Macaca mulatta: one gene and its partners. The protein of the gene in region 1 binds, or shares a complex with, the protein of each later gene. Links are inferred from orthologs where the notes say so. Each region holds a gene or a part of one and is shown in the gene's direction. Other genes may lie near its edges. The genes, in order: CELF1, CALR and CALR3.

What was found.
Region 2: CELF1 (region 1) and CALR share a complex: the UniProt entries of both Homo sapiens proteins name them as parts of the EIF2 complex. The link is inferred for Macaca mulatta from reciprocal best matches to the Homo sapiens genes CELF1 and CALR.
Region 3: CELF1 (region 1) and CALR3 share a complex: the UniProt entries of both Homo sapiens proteins name them as parts of the EIF2 complex. The link is inferred for Macaca mulatta from reciprocal best matches to the Homo sapiens genes CELF1 and CALR3.

What each region holds. Positions count from the first base shown.
Region 1 is NC_133419.1:18,109,538-18,113,170, forward strand, and holds part of CELF1 (CUGBP Elav-like family member 1), read left to right. Parts: intron 1-80; coding exon 81-163; intron 164-522; coding exon 523-571; intron 572-3,158; coding exon 3,159-3,293; intron 3,294-3,633. UniProt on the Homo sapiens protein: RNA-binding protein implicated in the regulation of several post-transcriptional events. Involved in pre-mRNA alternative splicing, mRNA translation and stability.
Region 2 is NC_133424.1:13,507,723-13,511,857, forward strand, and holds the end of CALR (calreticulin precursor), read left to right. Parts: intron 1-2,631; exon of another isoform or gene 2,632-2,680; coding exon 2,681-2,773; intron 2,774-2,850; coding exon 2,851-3,051; 3' UTR 3,052-3,622; downstream 3,623-4,135. UniProt on the Homo sapiens protein: Calcium-binding chaperone that promotes folding, oligomeric assembly and quality control in the endoplasmic reticulum (ER) via the calreticulin/calnexin cycle.
Region 3 is NC_133424.1:16,990,758-16,995,045, reverse strand, and holds the start of CALR3 (calreticulin-3), read left to right. Parts: upstream 1-1,402; 5' UTR 1,403-1,477; coding exon 1,478-1,568; intron 1,569-1,753; coding exon 1,754-1,855; coding exon of another isoform or gene 1,856-1,861; intron 1,862-4,288. UniProt on the Homo sapiens protein: During spermatogenesis, may act as a lectin-independent chaperone for specific client proteins such as ADAM3. Required for sperm fertility. CALR3 capacity for calcium-binding may be absent or much lower than that of CALR.

The sequences.
Region 1 (3,633 bases):
TGATATGTCAGTGGAGGAAGGGTTGCTATAGGAATTCTCTGCTTTCGAAGTTTTATTTTATGAAATCTTATTTATTGCAGGGTGCTGTTTTGTTACATTTTACACCCGTAAAGCTGCATTAGAAGCTCAGAATGCTCTTCACAACATGAAAGTCCTTCCAGGGGTAAGAAAGCTCCCACTAGTAAATGGAAATGTGGTAACTTTGATATATGGGATATACTTACACATATCAGGCACACACTGAAAACCATTTTGGGGAAAAGGTAATTTCCGCAGGAACTGATGTAAAGGAAGACATAAAGGGAGCACTTCAAAGATTACCTGACAGTAGTTCTCTCTCAGCCAAGAGTCTTGTGTATTTGACTTCTTGACTCACCTTTCATTTTCTGGGGAAAGATCATGAAGCAGACATGAGTTCAGAGAGAACTCTTTAAAGCTCTAGTTCTGGTATTTTAGAGTCTGTATGTATTTCTGAATGCCATTAATATATACAGTGATAATAATCATATTTTTCCTTTTTAGATGCATCACCCTATACAGATGAAACCTGCTGACAGTGAGAAGAACAATGGTAAGCAAATGTATACACTCTTCCCCTTAAGATTTTCTGCCTAGGCCAGGCGTGGTGGCTCACACCTGTAATCCCAGCTCTTTGGGAGGCCAAGGCTGGTGGATTGCTTGAGGTTGAGGCTGGAGTTCGAGACCAGCCTGGCCAACATGGTGAAACCCCGTCTCTGCTAAAAATACAAACATTAGCTGGGTATGGTTGTGCATGTCTATAATCCCAGCTTCTCAGGAGGCTGAAGCATGAGAATCTCTTGAACCCAGGAGGCGGAGGTTGCAGCGAGCCGAGATCATGCCAGTGTATTCCCACCTGGGCAACAGAGTGAGACTCTGTCTCAAAAAATAATTAAAAAAAAGAAGATTTCTGCCTAGTTTATTTGCTTTTCTTAGGATATCTGAATGGAATTGTGCTTTAAGTAATCCGTTGTCTGAGTTGTGTCAGTTTTTTCTTTAAAGTCTGATAAATAGAAAAACAGAGTTGAGGCCGGGCGCGGTGGCTCAAGCCTGTAATCCCAGCACTTTGGGAGGCCGAGACGGGCGGATCACGAGGTCAGGAGATCGAGACCATCCTGGCTAACACGGTGAAACCCCGTCTCTACTAAAAAAAATACAAAAAAACTAGCCGGGCGAGGTGGCGGGCGCCTGTAGTCCCAGCTACTCGGGAGGCTGAGGCAGGAGAATGGCGTGAACCCGGGAGGCGGAGCTTGCAGTGAGCTGAGATCCGGCCACTGCAGTCCAGCCTGGGCAACAGAGCGAGACTCCGTCTCAAAAAAAAAAAAAAAAAAAGAAAAACAGAGTTGACAGAGAAATATTATAAGAACATTGTAGAATGAACTGGAGTATGCTTGGTCAGTATAATATCTTTTGGACAGGAATGAGGGGGCAACATGAACAAATTAGGAAGGAGAACTTAATTCTCAGGAAAATAGTCAAGTCTGGGTGACGTAGCTCATGCTTGTAATCCCAGCACTTTGGGAGGCCAAAGAGGGCGAATCACCTGGCCAACATGGTGAAACCCCGTCTCTACTAAAAATGCGAAAATTAGCTGAGTGTGGTGGCGCATGCCTGTAATCCCAGCTACTCAGGAGGCTGAGACAGGAGAATCGCTTGAACCCAGGAGGCGGCGGTTGCAGTACGCTGAGATTATGCCACTGCGCTCCAACCTGGGCAACAGAGCAAGACTGTGTCTCAAAAAAAAGAAAAAAAAGTCAGAAAAGTAGACAGTTACACTCACTGAAAGGTGTGTTCTCTTCCACTTGTCATATCAAGTAAGTGTGAAAACCTCTTCTTTCTTTAGTAGTGTTGCTAGTAAGAGCAAACAATGCTGGCTGGGCACAGTGGCGCACACCTATAATCACAGCACTTTAATAGGCTGAGGCTGGAGGATTGTTTGAGCCCAGGAGTTTGAGACCAACCTTGGTAATAAGAGTGAGATCTCTCTGCAAAAAATTGACTGGGTGTGGTGGTACATACCTGTGGTCCCAGCTATTCAGGAAGCTGAGGTGGGAAGATTGCTTAAATCCAGCAGGTCAAGGCTGCAGTGAGCCATGATCATGCCACTGCACTTCAACCTGGGTGACAGTGAGACTCTTGTCTCAAAAAGAGCAAACAATTACAAAGGACTAGGGAAGATGCCAAGTACTTTGCATTTAATAGCAACTGCTACCCTTTGAAGTAAACCTGATTATTCCTATTAGTTAGATGAGGAAACAGGCACAGAATGGTTAAGTAACTTTCACAAGATTACAAAGCTACCACATTTCATCTAAATGCTTCTAATTATAATTTTAAGATAATGTTGGTTATAAGGAGAGATGTGAAGCCGGGCATGGTGGCTCACGCCTGTAACCCCAGCACTTTGAGAGGCCGAGGCGGGTGGATCACCTGAGATCAAGAGTTCAAGACCGGGCCGGGCGCGGTGGCTCAAGCCTGTAATCCCAGCACTTTGGGAGGCCGAGACGGGCGGATCACGAGGTCAGGAGATCGAGACCATCCTGGTTAACACAGTGAAACCCCGTCTCTACTAAAAAATACAAAAAACTAGCCGGCCGAGGTGGCGGACGCCTGTAGTCCCAGCTACTCGGGAGGCGGAGGCAGGAGAATGGCGTGAACCTGGGAGGCGGAGCTTGCAGTGAGCTGAGATCCGGCCACTGCACTCCAGCCTGGGTGACAGCGCGAGACTCCGTCTCAAAAAAAAAAAAAAAAAGAGTTCAAGACCAGCCTGACCAATATGGAGAAACCGCGTCTCTACTAAAAATACAAAATTAGCCAGGCATGATGGTGCATTCCTGTAATCCCAGCTACTCAGGAGGCTGAGGCAGGAGAATCGCTTGAACCCGGGAGGCAGAGGTTGCGGTGAGCCGAGATCACGCCATTGCACTCCAGTCTGGACAACAGGAGCAAAACTCTGTCTCAAAAAAGGAAAGAAAAGAAATGTGAAAAATATGAAAAACAAATGTGTGTCTTGGAATCTGTAAAATGTGGTATGAAGGCACAGAGCCAGGATTCAAACCCAGGCGGTCTGGCTCCCGAGTCTGTGCCACATTGCCTCTTTTCATAGTAATATTCAAGTCTTTTGTGTTTTACTCTCTTAGCAGTGGAAGACAGGAAGCTGTTTATTGGTATGATTTCCAAGAAGTGCACTGAAAATGACATCCGAGTCATGTTCTCTTCATTTGGACAGATTGAAGAATGCCGGATATTGCGGGGACCTGATGGCCTGAGCCGAGGTAGATACAGTTTTAGCTTTTAAATAATCTTTTGGTTTTTTTATTTTGGTTTGGTTTGGGGTTTTTTTTTGGAGACAGGGTCTTGGTCTATCTCACCCAGGCTGGAGTGCAGTGGTGCCTTCACAACTCATTGCAGCCTGAACCTCCCAGAATCAGCCTCCTGAGTAGCTGGGACCACAGGCATGTATCACGACACCCAGCTAATTTTTAAATTTTTTAGAGAGAGAAGGTTTCCCTGTGTTGCCCAGGCTGGTCTTGAACTCCTGGACTCAAAGGATCCTATCATCTTGGCCTCCCATAGTGCTGGGATTATAGGTGTGAGCCACTGCACCAGCCTTGG
Region 2 (4,135 bases), on another chromosome or scaffold:
CGATCTCCTGACCTCGTGATCCACCCGTCTCGGCCTCCCAAAGTGCTGGGATTACAGGCTTGAGCCACCGCGCCCGGCCTTTTTTTTTTTTTTTTTTGAGACGCAGTTTCACTCTTGTTGCTGAGGCTCGAGTGCAATGGCACGATCTCAGCTCACTGCAACCTTCGCCTGCTGGGTTCAAGCGATTCTCCTGCCTCAGCCTCCCCAGTAACTGGGATTACAGGCATGTGCCACTATGGATGCCAGGCTAATTTGTTTGTTTTTTGTTTTTGAGACCGAGTCTTGCTCTGTCGCCCAGGCTGGAGTGCAGTGGTGCGATCTCAGCTCACTGCAAGCTCCGCCTCCCAGGTTTACGGCATTCTCCTGTCTCAGCCTCCCAAGTAGCTGGGACTACAGGCGCCTGCCACCACGCCTGGCTGATTTTTTTTTTTTTTTTTTTTTTTTTTTTTTTTTTGAGACGGAGTCTGGCTCTGTTGCCCGGGCTGGAGTGCAGTGGCCGGATCTCAGCTCACTGCAAGCTCCGCCCCACGGGTTCCCGCCATTCTCCTGACTCAGCCTCCCAAGTAGCTGGGACTACAGGCGCCGCCAGCACGCCCGGCTAGTTTTTTTGTATTTTTTTTTTTAGTAGAGACGGGGTTTCACCGTGTTCGCCAGGATGGTCTCGATCTCCTAACCTCGTGATCCGCCCGTCTCGGCCTCCCAAAGTGCTGGGATTACAGGCTTGAGCCACCGTGCCCGGCCGATTTTTTTTTTTTTTTTTTTTTTTTTTTAGTAGAGACGTGGTTTCACCATGTTAGCCAGGATGGTCTCGATCTCCTGACCTCATAATCCACCAGCCTCAGCCTCCCAAAGTGCTGGGATTACAGGCATGAACCACCGTACCCAGCCTTTTTTTTTTTTTTTTTTTTTTTTTTTGGGTAGAGACAGGGCTTCACCATGTTGCCAAGATTGGTCTCGAACTCCTGGCCTCAGGTGATCTGCCCGCCTCGGCCTCCCAAAATGCTGGGATTACACGGGTTGAGCCACTGTGCCTAGCCTCTACAAAAAACTTTAAAAATTAGCCAGATGTCGTGCATACCTGTAGTCCAAGCTACCAAGGAAGGAGGATGATACTTGAACCTGGGGCATCGAGGCTGCAGTGAGCCATGATCATGTCACTGCACTCCAGCCTGGGTGACAGAGTGAGACCCTGTTTCAAAAAAAGCTGGGACTGAATTTTTGTCTTTTTTGGTCACTGAAATACCTTCTGTGCCCAAGACATTTCTTGGCATTTAGTAGGTACCTGAAAAATACCTGAATATAAGAGAGTGAGAAACAGAAGAAACAGGTGCAGAGAACTGAAGTCAGTAGCCCAAGGTCATGGGGGCAGGAAACCACAAAGCTGGGGTTTGAACCCAGGCAGTACAACACCTGAGTCGCTCCATCCTTTTTTTTTTTTTTTTTTTTTTTAAATATAAAGACAGAGTCTTGCTCTGTCACCCAGGTTGGAGTGCAGTGGCTTCATCTCGGCTTACTGCAGTCTCTGCCTTCCAGGTTCAAGTGATTCTCAGGCCTCAGCCTCTCGAACAGCTGGAATTACAGCCATGTGCCACAGCACTGGGTTGTTTTTTTTTTTTTTTTTTGAGATGGAATTTCACTCTTGTTGCCCAGGCTGGAGTGCAATGATGCAATCTTTTTTTTTTTTTTTTTTTTTTTTGAGACGGAGTCTCGCTGTGTCTCCCAGGCTGGAGTGCAGTGGCGTGATCTCGGCTCACTGCAAGCTCCGCCTCCCGGGTTCACGCCATTCTCCCGCCTCAGCCTCCCAAGTAGCTGAGACTACAGGTGCCCGCCACCACACCCGGCTAGTTTTCTGTATTTTTAGTAGAGACGGGGTTTCACCATGTTAGCCAGGATAGTCTCGATCTCCTGACCTCGTGATCCACCCGCCTCGGCCTCCCAAAGTGCTGGGATTACAGGCTTGAGCCACCGCGCCCGGCCAATGATGCAATCTTGACTCACCACAACCTCCGCCTCCCAGGTTCAAGCGATTCTCCTGCTTCAGCCTCCTGAGTAGCTGGGATTACAGGCATACCAGGCATGTGCCACCACAGACACCGGGCTTTTTTTTTTTTAGTGGAGACAGGGTTTCACTATGTTGCCCAGGTTGGTCTTGAACTCCTGGCCTCAAGTGATCTGCTCACCATAGCCTCCCAAAGTGCTGGGATTACAGGCGTGAGCCTGTGCCTGGCCATCTCTCCATCTTTTTTTGAGATGGAGTCTCTCTCTGTCGCCCAGGCTGGAGTGCAGTTGCCCGATCTGCGCTCACTGCAGACTCCGCCTCCTGGGTTCACGCCATTCTCCTCCCTCAGCCTCCCGAGTAGCTGGGACTACAGGCGCCCACCACCACGCCTGGCTAATTTTTTGTATTTTTAATAGAGACGGGGTTTCACTGTGTTAGCCAGGATGGTCTCGATCTCCTGACCTTGTGATCCACCCGCCTTGGCTTCTGGGTGAGGATTACAGGTGTGAGCCACCGTGCCCGGACTCTCCATCTTTTTAACTGCAATGTCAGCAGCGTTCCTTGTCTTCTCTGCAGATGCAGGCAGCAGGGTATAGTGGTTATAGGAACACAGGTGGAAACCCTGTCCAAAGGAAGGGCTATCGGGTGTCACCTCTGACCATCCTTCCATTCATCCTCCAGGTCAAGTCTGGCACCATCTTTGACAACTTCCTTATCACCAACGATGAGGCATACGCCGAGGAGTTTGGCAATGAGACGTGGGGCGTGACAAAGGTGAGTCCTGGTCCTGATGTGGGGGGCGGGCAGGGAAGGCAGGGTGCAAGGCCCTGAGGTGTGTGCTCTGCCTGCAGGCAGCAGAGAAACAAATGAAGGACAAACAGGACGAGGAGCAGAGGCTTAAGGAGGAGGAAGAAGACAAGAAGCGCAAAGAGGAGGAGGAGGCAGAAGACAAGGAGGACGATGAGGACAAAGATGAGGATGAGGAGGATGAGGAGGACAAGGAGGAAGATGAGGAGGAAGATGTCCCCGGCCAGGCCAAGGATGAGCTGTAGAGAGGCCTGCCTCCAGGGCTGGACTGAGGCCTGAGCGCTCCTGCCGCAGAGCTGGCCGCGCCAAATAATGTCTCTGTGAGACTCGAGAACTTTCATTTTTTTCCAGGCTGGTTCGGATTTGGGGTGGATTTTGGTTTTGTCCCCTCCTCCACTGTTCCCCCCCGCCCCCCGCCTTTTTTTTTTTAACTGGTGTTTTATCTTTGATTCTCCTTCAGCCCTCACCCCTGGTTCTCATCTTTCTTGATCAACATCTTTTCTTGCCTCTGTCCCCTTCTCTCTCCATATCTTTTAGCTCCCCTCCAACCTGGGGGGCAGTGGTGTGGAGAAGCTGCAGGCCTGAAATTTCATCTGCTCTCCTTCCTGGAGCCCAGAGGGGGGCAGGAGAAGGGGGTGGTGTCTCCAACCCCCCAGCACTGAGGAAGAATGGGGCTCTTCTCATTTCACCCCGCCCTTTCTCCCCTGCCCCCAGGACTGGGCCACTTCTGGGTGGGGCAGTGGGTCCCAGATTGGCTCACACTGAGAATGTAAGAACTACAAACAAAATTTCTATTAAATTAAGTTTTGTGTCTCCCTCCTGTGTCTCCTTTTGGGGAAAGACAGACTTCAGGAAACCCAGCAGTGGTCTTTTTGGGGGTGGGGAGGGTTTCCAGTATATCTCCTTTTTCAGCTGTTGCTAGAGAGGTTACTGACTGTTCCACAAGATTCCAGGGACCCGTATTTACCCCATAACCCTCAAAACCAACGGGAGAATGACTGTTGCTGCCGTAAATACTCCACATATTAATTTACTGAATCCTTGAACCTAACTGGTAAGTTTTGGTTCTGTTTATTGGTTTTATTTTTAGGATAGACTGTTGCTCTGTTGCCCAGGCTGGCCTACAATGGCTTAATCTGGTTCACCCTCTTAAACTGGCCTTCTTCATGCTTCTATTCCTTTGGGGTCCTGTGGCTCAGCCCAACCCCTCTGGGATGCCTCTAGGACTGGCAGATCCAAGGGAGAATTCTGTTTTTAATGTCGTGAGGCTTTGAAAGTTAACATCTTTAAATACTTTTGGGGTCAGATTGGGGATAGTACAACAAAGTA
Region 3 (4,288 bases), on another chromosome or scaffold:
ATCCCAGCACTTTGGGAGACCGAGGCAGGTGCATCACGATGTCAGGAGTTCGAGACCAGCCTGACCCACATGGTGAAACCCCGTCTCTACTAAAAATACAAAAATTAGCGGGGCATGGTGGTCTGCGCCTGTAATCCCAGCTACTCAGGACGCTGAGGCAGGAGAATTGCTTGAACGTGGGAGGAGGAGTTTGCAGTGAGCTGAGATCACGCCATTGCACTCCAGCCTGGGTGACAGAGCGCGACTCTGCCTCAAAAAAAAATTTAAAAAAAGGAGCCAGACACTAAACTCCACACACCCTATCATTTCATCTGTAAGAACTGTCAAGAAAATGCAAACCAATAAACTCAGAAAGCAGATCAGGCCGGTGCTGTGGCTCACGCCTATAATCCCAGCACTTTGGGAGGCCAAGGCTGGCAGATCACGTGAGGTCAGGAGCTCAAGATCAATGTAGCAAACATGGTGAAACCCCATCTCTACTAAAAATACAAAAAATTAGCCAGAGTGCAGTGGCATGATCACAGCTCACAGCAGCTTTGACCTTCCAGACACAAGCAATCCTGCTCCCGCCTCAACATCCCGAGTAGCTAGGACTGTAGACGCGAGCCACTACACCTGGCTAATTTTTTATTTTTATCTTTTTGAGAGATGGGGTGTCGCCATGTTGCCCAGGCTGGTCTGGATCTCCTGGCCTCAAGTGATCCTCCCGCCTTTGCCTCCCAAAGTGCTGGGATTCCAGGCGTGAGCCACCACACCCCGCCTGACGCGAAGTTCTAAAGCTGGATGAACTGGATGATGGCGACGACTTCACAGCTTTGTAGATTTACTAAAAATAACGGAGTCGTCAGCTTAAAAGTGGCGAACACTATGGTATGTAAATAAAGGCTCAACAAAGTCGTTAAAAACCAACAAACCAAAATTTGAAAACCCTGGCGCCCCTCAGACCATCCTGCTCTTCTCCCCAGCTATGAAGCGACCCGCCCAGGACCACGCTCCAATAGACTCCAGGCAGGGAGACTGAGGCGCGGGACCATCCTGCAGCTGCCCAACCAGCTCAGCCACGGAGAAGGCCCCATTTCCCCGTATCCCCCTCGCGAGCCCGGACGCCCAGCCAGGTCACCTCCCCACCAGCGCTGCCGACCTCCTCCCACGCCGTCCATTCGCAGAGGCAGCCGCCACATTCAGGCCTGAGGGACCGGTTGCCCTGAGCAACAGAGCCAGAGCAGAAGAGACTACATCTCCCGGCAAGCACCGCGTCCCGCAGACCAATGGCGTCCCGAATCACAATCGCGAGGCATCATGGGAGCGGTAGTTCTCTGGTGGACCCGACGTGCCCAGCGCCGCAGCTACCAATGGGACCCTCAGGTCATAATCGCGAGTTGTGACGGGAGTTGTAGTTTCAGGACTCGCCTGAAGAGCCGCAGAGAGCGCCGGGAGCTAAGGGGCGGTGGCGACCGGAAGCGCAGTGCAAACCCCCATGGCCGGGGTTCGGGTGCCCCTCTGGGGCATCTGCATGCTGCGAGTGGCGCTGGCTACCGTCTATTTCCAAGAGGAATTTCTAGACGGAGGTGAAGGGGCCACGCCCTTAGTGGCAGAGGTGTAAGCTCCCCCATCTGCCCCCCCAAGGCTGGGCAGAGTCGTCGCGAGGTCGACGGCAGCGAACTCTCGAATCCTCGAGGGTCCCCCTCACCCTTCCCTTAGGCCAAATTAACCATTATCACCTCTAACCGGTGTTATTTCCCCCTCCCCACAGAGCATTGGAGAAACCGATGGGTGCAGTCCACCAATGACTCCCGATTTGGGCATTTTAGACTTTCGTCGGGGAAGTTTTATGGTCATAAAGAGAAAGATAAAGGTTAGTGTAGAATCAGGACCAAACTGAGCCTAATGTTACATCTCCATAGCACCCTCTCAAGGTAGTTGTGGCACAGCCAAACGCTTTTATTCCCGATTTACAGATGAGACCTTAAGGCAAAGGTAGAACTTAAGGCAAAAGGGCTCCTTACCCTTGTTTTTTGTTTCCTCTCTCTTTTCTTTCTTTCTTTCTTTCTTTTTTTTTTTTTTTTTGAGATGGGGCCTTGCTCTGTTGCCCAGGCTGGAGTGCACTGGTGCGATCTCAGCTCACTGCAACTTCCACTTCCCGGGTTCAAGCAATTCTCCTGCCTCGGCCTCCCGAGTAGCTGAGACTACAGGCGCGCGCCACTGTGACCAGCTAATTTTTGTACTTATTAGTAGAGACAGGGTCCACGTTGGCCAGGCTGGTCTCGAACTCCTGACCTCGTGATCCACCCGCCTTGGCCACCCAAAGTGCTGAGATTACAGGCATGAGCCACTGCACCCAGCCTCCTCTCTCCTTTCTTTATTGCCGAAGATTACTTTTTTTTTTTTTTTTGAGACGGAGTCTCGCTCTGTCCCCGTGGCTGGAGTGCAGTGGCGCGATCTCGTCTCACTGCAAGCTCCGCCTCCCGGGTTCCCGCCATTCTCCTGCCTCAGCCTCCCGAGTAGCTGGGACTACAGGCGCCCGCAACCGCGCCCGGCTAATTTTTTGTATTTTTAGTAGAGACGGGGTTTCACCGTGGCCTCGATCTCCTGACCTTGTGATCCGTCCGCCTCGGCCTCCCAAAGTGCTGGGATTACAGGCGTGAGCCACCGCGCCCGGCCTTTTTTTTTTTTTTTTTTTTTTTTTTTTTTTTTTTTTTGAGTAGGAGTCTCACTCTGTGTCACCCAGCTAGAGTGCAGTGGCACGATCTTTTTTTTTTTTTTTTTTTTTTTTTTTTGAGACGGAGTCTTGCTCTGTCACCCAGGCTGGCCGGATCTCAGCTCACTGCAAGCTCCGCCTCCCGGGTTTACGCCGTTCTCCTGCCTCAGCCTCCCGAGTAGCTGGGACTACCGGCCCTCCCGCCACCTCGCCCGGCTAGTTTTTTGTACTTTTTAGTAGAGACGGGGTTTCACCGTGTTAGCCAGGATGGTTTCGATCTCCTGACCTCGTGATCCGCCTGTCTCGGCCTCCCAAAGTGCTAGGATTACAGGCTTGAGCCACCGCGCCCGGCCAATGGCACGATCTTGGCTCACTCAAACCGCCGCCTCCCGAATTCAAGCGATTCTCTTGCTTCAGGCTTCCGAGAAGCTGCGATTACAAGCGCGTGCCACTACGCCCTGCTAATTTTTTTAGAGACAGAGTTTCACCACGTTGCTCTGGCTGGTCTCAAACTCCTGGCCTCAAGTAATCCACCTGCCTCGGCCTCCTAAAGTGCTGGGATTATAGGCGTGAGTTGGTATTAGGTCCTCTGAAGTCCAAGGAGACATATTCAGCTTATTTGGTATAATAAAATCATACCTGAAGCACTGTCAAATATGCAATGGTATTTAACCTTCTTTGGATTATATTTATATGAATGTGTTATTAGTAGGCATTACCAAAGTTGTCCCTCTTAATAAACACTAGTCAAGTGCATTTGAGGATCAAGGGCCACGCCCCTCAGAAGGAAAAGATTAGTGGGTGCTTTTTCTCATTTTAATTTTTGCATTTAAAAAAATAGGCCGGGCATGGTGGCTCACACCTTAATCTCAGCACTTTGGGAGGCCTTAGGCAGGAGGATCATGAGGTCAGGAGTTTCAAACCAGTCTGGCCAATATGGTGACACCCCATCTCTACTAAAAATACAAAAATTAGCTGGGTGTGGTGGTGCATGCCTGTAGTCCCAGCTACTCGGGAGGCTGAGGCAGAAGAATCGCTTGAACCCGGGAGGCAGAGGTTGCAGTGAGTAGAGATCGTGCCACTGTGCTCCAGCCTCAGTGACAGAGTGAGACTCCATCTAAAAAAAAAAAAAAAGAAAAATATGGTCAGGCACGGTGGCTCCTGCCTGTAATCCCAGCACGTTGGGAGGCCAAGGCGGGTGGATTACTTGAGGTCAGGGGCTTGAGACCAGCCTAGCCAACATGGTGAAACCGGGTCTCTACAAAAATACAAAAAAATTAGCCAAGCGTGGTGGCGCACACCTGTAATCCCAGCTACTTGGGAGGGTGAGGCAGGAGAATCACATGAACCCGAGAGGCAGAGGTTACAGTGAGTCAAGATCTTGCCACTATAGCCTGGGCAACAGAGCAAGACTCTGTCTCCAAAAAAAAAAAATCTAGCTTAAAGAGAGCTAATTCAAGCTCAAAGTTTGAGGACAACTGTATGGAAAACACAGATTCCAAAGAATAGAAGTCAGTGTTCTGAAGTGTAGAAGTTTGGGATCATTTGTATAGACAAAGTTTAGGAAAGCTTAACAGAATTTCAGCATCT